2 linked regions of the Xenopus tropicalis genome follow. The protein of the gene in region 2 purifies or fractionates together with the protein of the main gene of each other region. This does not show direct contact. Links are inferred from orthologs where the notes say so. Each region holds a gene or a part of one and is shown on either strand. Other genes may lie near its edges.

Region 1 (3,655 bases), on a different chromosome or scaffold from region 2:
TTGCGCCGGAAGATGGATTCTGAAGGTTTTTTGCCCGTTGGTTTGATTGCCAGTTTCCATCGAGTACAGGCTCTTACCACAGATATTGAACTGATAGTCAAGGTAAAGTGAACTGTGTTGAATTTTGTTTAAATAAAAAAAAATATATATACTCAGACCGTACCACTGTTGCTCTTCAGAGCATCTGTGGCTCATGTTAATGAGCACATATATGTTGATGATGAAGGCTTCTTGTGCAGAACTGCATGTCCATATGTTACCAGTATTTGTCATAAAATAAGATGAATGTACCCATTCTTTGATTGTGTGCATGTTTATAGATATATTTAGATAAATGTGTGTGTAAATGATGCCTTTGTGTTCTGCAGGCACTAAAGGATAGCAAAGTGGTAGAGATTATTGATGAGAAAATTCGCAGGAAAGATCAGCCAGATATGTGGCCACTTCCAGGTCCCTCCCTTTCAGATGCTTCCCAGACCGACTTCAATCAACTCATAAACTGTCCTGAATTCGTCCCCAGGCAAGGATTCCAGAAGGAAACAGGTTAGTGACCTTCAGTTGTTAAAGGTATTTATGACAGAAATGTAATTATAAGAAACTTTCCCAGTACACATACATTTATATAGTTGTACAGGCATAAGATCCATTATAAAGAAAGTTTTGACTTATAGGAAGGCCGTCTCTCATAGACTCCCTTTCTTCCCTTTTTGCATAAAGAATCTGCTCCTGGCTCTCCTCGAACATCCAGCCCAGCCCGAACGACAAAATCCGAAGAGGTCTCTAACTTGAAGACCATGCCAAAGGGTCTTTCGGCCAGTTTGCCTGACCTGGACTCTGATAACTGGATAGAAGTCAAGAAAAGGCCGCGACCTTCCCCAGCAAGAACCAAGGTAATGCCAGGTCAAGATTTGGGGCTTGCTAACATAACCTCTATAGCAGGGATCCCCAACCTTTTATACCCGTGAGCCACATTTAAATGGACAAAGTGTTGGGAAGCAACACAAGCATGAAAAATGTTCATGGGGGTGCAAATAAGAGCTATAATTGGCTACCTAATAGCCCCTATGTGGACTGGCAGCCTACAGAAGGCTCTGTTTGGCATTATACTTGGTTTCTATTCAACCAAAACTTGCCCCCTAACCAGGAATTCAAAAATAAGCACCTTCTTTGAGGCCACTGGGAGCAACATCCAAGGGGTTGGGGAGCAACATGTTGCTCCTGAGCCACTGATTGGGGATCCCTGCTCTATAGAGTCCGAGAATACAGTATGAGCGCAACAAATGGAATGATATTACTGTACACTGCAATTACATCATTCCATTTGAAAGGACCCACTGTGCAGTTTATAGATATGCCTTTTATTTATTTATTTCTTGTGTAGAAATAACAAGTAAAGTACTAGGGAATCACTTAATACATGAATTGAACTGCCTTTCCCAGTTTGCAGCTGGAAATAATATACTAGATGTTATGACCCATTAGGTTAGAGAGCAACAAGTAAGTAGCATTACAATAGGCAGACCAAAGCTGCACACCCAGAATAAACCTTGGGATTTAGGACCATAATAAATTCAATGTTCAAGTATTTTTGCCCCTTTGCAGTGCCATAGTATGTTTAAACTGGAAGCTTGTTTAAAACCATTATATTTACTTTTATTTACATTTAATTAACACAAACAGGATGAGGTTAAGTCGCCACAGGTGGTTACACCCTTGCAGGTGACTCCACAAAAGCCACCCAAAGATCAAGATGAGCCAGAGGAATTGGACTTTATGTTTGATGAGGAAATGGAGCAAATGGACGGGCGGAAGAATACTTTTACTGACTGGTCAGACGAGGACTCTGACTATGAGATCGATGATCGAGATGTGAACAAGATTCTTATTGTGACACAGACACCGCCTTCACTACGTAAGCACCCTGGAGGTGACCGCACCGGCAACCACACCTCCCGTGCAAAGATGAGCTCAGAGTTTGCCAAAGTTATTAACGATGGTCTGTTCTATTACGAGCAGGACCTGTGGACTGAACAGTTTGAGCCAGAATACTCTCAGATTAAGGTGAGTTAAGCATAAGCAGTGTTTTCCACATCTGAACTAAACCTTATTTCCTTCTGTTGAGGTCTTAAGATGGCTGTACTCGTACCAAAAAAATTATTTCATATGAATCAGTATGTGTACATCGGCGGATGGTGGGGCCTGTATAAAACTTTTATCTGCTTATGTACTGTATGTGTTAATATATGGTGCACCAGCAGATAAGGTAGTGAAGAGGGGCCAAAACTCCACTTTCTGCTTTTCTGATGGTTTCTCTGTGTAAAAGAGCTGACTTGTGTTGCTTGAGTGTCCATCATCATTTTTGTTTCTGGGCAGGAATCCTAATTCAGAAAAAAAGTTCTCGCTTTGTGTTTTTGTTTTTTTTTTTTTACTTTTGGGTTACTTGTATAAAAGTGACCTTCAGAAAAGATAATGAAAACTCTGCCTTCTTAAATTTGTGTATGATTTGGTTTTGTATACCTGCCATAGGGGTGAGGATTATATAACAGGAGCAGCAGTTATATTGGGGTTGTGCTGGAACATTTGGGATTCCAGTGTCATGTTGCGGTTCATGTGAGAGTTTGTTGTACAGCTTCCGGTGAGAGCAGAATAATAGACACATAAGTGATACCTCTTTTTGGACAATTTTTTGACAGAGGAAACCTCTTCACGTGTGATACTGATTGTATTCAAATTCAGGTTGAGGACTGCAGGCTGTACATGCCAGCTATAGGGGTTTCTAGGCGACAACTGGTGTTTTGTCAAAAGCAGCTTGCCTCTGTAAATGTCCTCAAAGCAAATGCCATGTGACTGGAAGCGGAGAGGAAGCAAAAAGCATTGAATTGCAGTTTACCATTCTGTGTGTTTCCTTCTTTTGGGTACTGATGGGCTATTGTAATTTGTAAGCATGAAATCAGTCAGCTGCTCTCACATGTGCTAAGCCCTTCCACTCTTTGTTGCCCAGCTTTTTCTGGGCCTTGCCTTCCTGTTCCTGGTAACACAGCACTGGGAGTTGTTCGTGTGATGTTTTCTGGACCATCTAAGAGGGCAGTGGTGGGGCATGAGGGGTGTTTTCCAGTTGCAAGGGATGTCTGTCCTGTTATCACTATGTTCTACAAAGCAGAAGAATCCCTCTTTAGCAAACTATTTGAAGTACTGTGTGCGTGCACCTTTATTTCATTGCTGGCCTGGATCTACTTACCCTTCACTAGGAACCTAGAGCAGGAGGAGCTGTATTGGGTCTACCTTGCCACTGTCTTTCCAGGTAGGAGCTTCACTGTGGGCTTTAATATGTGTATTCTGATCTGAAGACTACCAGCATCCTAAGATAGCTACTGGAACTCCTAACTCCCTAAATGTTTGGAATCTCTGCTTCATCTTACTGTTGAACTGGGTTTCAACTAGAAAATACCTATAATTACTTTTCCCCATACCTTGCCAACACCTTAAAAGGACTTTCACAGAAAAACATGAAGAAAGATTTTCTTTTTTTGCTACTGTTTGGCTTTTTAATGGGCTCTGCAAAAATGTGAGTGAAGCTGCTTGTTGAATTGTGTGCTTAAAGGAACAGTAACACCAAAAAATGAAAATGTATAAAAGTAACTAAAATATAATGTGC
Region 2 (3,755 bases):
CGTTTGGAAACTAGCCAAAGTTTTTCCCCCTACTGTGCCTGTTCCACTGCATGCTGGGTTATGTAGTTTGTTTCTTACAATTAGCCTACAGCTAGGATTAATGTAAAACTACAATACCCAACATGCAATTGGACAGTATAGAAAGAGGCTCCGTTTTGTATTCTTTTTTGCTCTTTCAGACTCAACCTGTCTGCCCTACAACCTTACTCCCTGTGCTATAGGGTATGTGATTGTAGTATCACTTTGTACTGTGATGTGGGGGCAGTTCTGCAGTTGATCCTTAAGCTATAACTCTCAGGATATCTTGGGGCTTCTGAGAGTTGTAGTTCAACGCACCCATATGTATATCAAGTCTGGGGTTAATGCAACATTTGGAATCTATTTCTGTAGTGACTTCCCAGCTGGACACAGAGAGCAGGGAATTATCAGCCATGCAAGTAACTTGAGAGGGGGAGGAACAGGGCATGAGTAGTTATTATACACTTTAAAAAGGCATGTTTTCCCATATATGCTTTCATTTTTTTAGAATTTTTTTCACATATTAGGCTATTTTTGGGCTACTTTAAAAGTGGTTTTTGGCTAGTTTTGGGCTGGTTTTAGAACTGATTTTGGCAGGTTTGGAAAAATAAACCTGGCAATTCCGCCTCTCCACCAACCAACAGCTCTCTCTCGTTCTGGCTTTGAAGTCTTTGGCGCTGCGTGCAGGCTCACAGTAGCTAGGAACAGGGCGCAACACGATAGTAGTAATTAAAGAAAGACTGCATGCACCATTATAGCAGAATCATATCGTTAGTTTAGCATGGCATTTCGCCACGGAGAAAAGTATGTGTGTGAACACACAGATCCCTGCTCGTCAGGTACTTATAATGAACTGCGAACAGTGAACGATTTCAGAAGCTCTAAAAGCTTAGCGCTCGCACACACAACTTATCTCAGAATTTTCCTAACTACAGTTCCTCAGCAGATCTCACTACTCTTACCCGTCAGCTTTCTGCAAACCCTTTTACCTTGCACGAGCAGAACTATACATTGAAACTCCCCCTCCCTTTTCAAGCATGGCACCAGAACCTTCTTTCCCAAATATGTCACATGGTGCTATGACATTGGTAGGCAGGGATAGAGAGAGATAGCAGGAAAACACTCCCCCTGTGACATCACTCACCCTCCCACATCTTGGTCACATGACTTGTGACTTCACAACCTCCTTTAAGCCTCTCCATTCTAGCCCTTACCGGTGTTTCTGTGCTGGGGAACATCCGCTGGCCTTCGGTGCTTAACTCCTGGGATACACGTGAGCTGTTGAGTAACCTGGGTAGATACAACAGGGAATCCTCAGCTTATCAACATGGCTGAGGGTCAGCCTTCAGGTAAATAATAGATTCCAAATGTTACAAAATATCCAGCCTATGGTTCCCTGGGTGTTGGTGAGCTTCAGCTTTCAACATTACCGGATGACAGCTAGTTAGATTCAAAGTTAATTACATATAGGACATTTTTGGGTCTCAGTTTTTTTACAGGCTTTAAATGTCTGAATGTGAATGAGTTGCTGTTAACAGTAAAACTGAATTATTATATTTTATATTTTCAAGAGGAGTATTTCAGATATTGCTTGTTGTGACACAGGCCAAATTGCATGCGCGTAATCTGACATTTTATAACCGTAAGTTAACTTTCAAATGCAAGTTATCCATATTTAGGTTTCTGCAGGGAAAATCCTTAGCATTAACTGGGTTGTAAGGCTCTTTGATTTTCCATTACAGATTGTTTAAGTGTTTTTTCCCCACTTTTATCTGTTGCTGAACTACAGTTGCTGCCATGCTTTTAAGCCATTGTCTGGGAGCCACATTTCAGAACAGCTGACATGAACATTCCTCTTTAACAAATGTCAACCCACTGCAAACATAGTGACAATTTAAAACTTGGTGAAATTAGAATAAGAATTATATGGTTGTAAGTATCATGTCAACTCTCCACCATTTTAAAATGATAATTGTAATAATTTTGGGCAATTGACATGCTTATGGGCCCACATGGAGCAATGTGTGAATGTAGTAGGGGGAAAACACACTTATTTACTATGCACCTGTATTCATATTCTTGCTGTCGAAGCTGTGAACTGAAGCTAAAGTCCACCCACATCCTCCAAATGCTTACATACATATAGTACACTGAATTTGTAGTAAAATTAAAACATCTCAGTTACACTCTGCTGTGGGCATTGCTTGTGTTAAAAACCACATGGTAGATTTTACACCGTTATTTTACGCATGTTCTGGCGGAAGATAAACAGAGTAAAAAAAATTACACTGTTTTTACACAGCGAAACCTAACGATAAATAGGCCCCTTATTTTTCGGGCATTTTATTTTATCTCAGTCTGGATCAGATGAAGTTGGACAGGCCAACAAGACACTATTAGGTGACTGAAATGCCCAAACACTCAGGTGGCTATAATAGTCAATTATCAGTTTGTTTAGATCACTGGAGTCGTCTTCATATGACTAGCTTTATACCAGTGACATAATTATTAAGGAGCGTTTCTTTGAAACAGCGTTTTGTAAAACAGTATAAGACTCAACACTACTTTTTAGGCTTATAACGCAGATAGGGGGGTTATAGGAATATATCTTTTTTTCCCATGAAAACGATCAGACCAAAGAGGCCACCCCTCTAGAGAAACTTAACTTTCATTTGAAGCATTCTAAGTGTTTTTTTCATAGAAAGGGCAGTGATGTTGTGATGGCAGATTCTATTAATGCCTTTCAGAGGGCTTGGATGATTTATTGAACACATGTAATATCCAAGGCTATTGTAATACTAAAATCTACAGTTAGTATTGATGTTGGTATATGTGGTTTATGTATGTGAGTGTATAGATAGCTCAGTATAGGTTTGTGTATGCCGGGTGCACTTGGAAGGGTTGAACTTGATGGACTGTGGTCTTTTTTCAGCCCTATGTAACTGTGTACGACATGAATTTTGTCTTTTTCCCCCAAGAATATTCATGTTAACTAAACACTGGGGTGTCTTCCCATAATATGTGCAAACCTTATCCACGCTCTAAAAGTGTCAAAGTGAATTTACTACTGTTAAAAGACCAGTGAGAAAAAAAAGGGTGAAAAACCCCACTACTTAACCTCTCAATTGTGAAAAAAAACCAAAAAAAACATTTTTTATTTATGTGTCTCCGAGCTGCCTTCCTCTATCTAATCCGTGAAGTGCTTCCAATATTAACCCCTGAGAGTTGGCGCTCACAAATCACTAGTAGTGATTTGTGAGCGCCAACTCTCAGGGGTTAGTGTCTTCCTATAATGAAAGGGAATCTCATCTAGTATGGTACAAGTCTTCAGTGTCATTTGAATATGCATGCATCCATCTACATCTTTCTGGGATAATCGTGCCCTATTACATTTATGGCTGCACTGGAGGAAGGCACAAACCAAGGAGATTACCCAACAATTCTGTATTCTAATGCTAATTTGACAAAACTTGCTTTGGCGATTATTTTAAGACTAGTACCACTTCATATATCCATATAACTGTAATAGCATTAGCACTGTTTTTTTTTTTTTTTGGTAGCTGGACTTGAATATTATTATAGCAGTGAACAAAAACATTTACAATGTAAAGGTTTAGTGCTCGCATTTTTTTTTTTAATTGCTAGCTAGCTTTATATCTGTACTGACTTTTTTTTTTTTTTTTTAACAAAAATCCAAGCCTTCTAGATTTATGAAGGATAATGTTTTTACCTGTCAT

The links. Proteins that work in one complex are often made in the same cells at the same time.
Region 1: the proteins of nfx1 (region 2) and larp1 purify together in Homo sapiens (affinity purification with mass spectrometry, with the first as the bait; 3 studies listed by BioGRID). This does not show direct contact. The link is inferred for Xenopus tropicalis from reciprocal best matches to the Homo sapiens genes NFX1 and LARP1.

What each region holds. Positions count from the first base shown.
Region 1 is NC_030679.2:19,800,834-19,804,488, forward strand, and holds part of larp1 (la-related protein 1), read left to right. Parts: coding exon 1-102; intron 103-368; coding exon 369-543; intron 544-717; coding exon 718-890; intron 891-1,680; coding exon 1,681-2,061; intron 2,062-3,655. UniProt on the Homo sapiens protein: RNA-binding protein that regulates the translation of specific target mRNA species downstream of the mTORC1 complex, in function of growth signals and nutrient availability.
Region 2 is NC_030682.2:76,153,597-76,157,351, reverse strand, and holds the start of nfx1 (transcriptional repressor NF-X1), read left to right. Parts: upstream 1-1,127; 5' UTR 1,128-1,345; coding exon 1,346-1,367; intron 1,368-3,755. UniProt on the Homo sapiens protein: Binds to the X-box motif of MHC class II genes and represses their expression. May play an important role in regulating the duration of an inflammatory response by limiting the period in which MHC class II molecules are induced by interferon-gamma.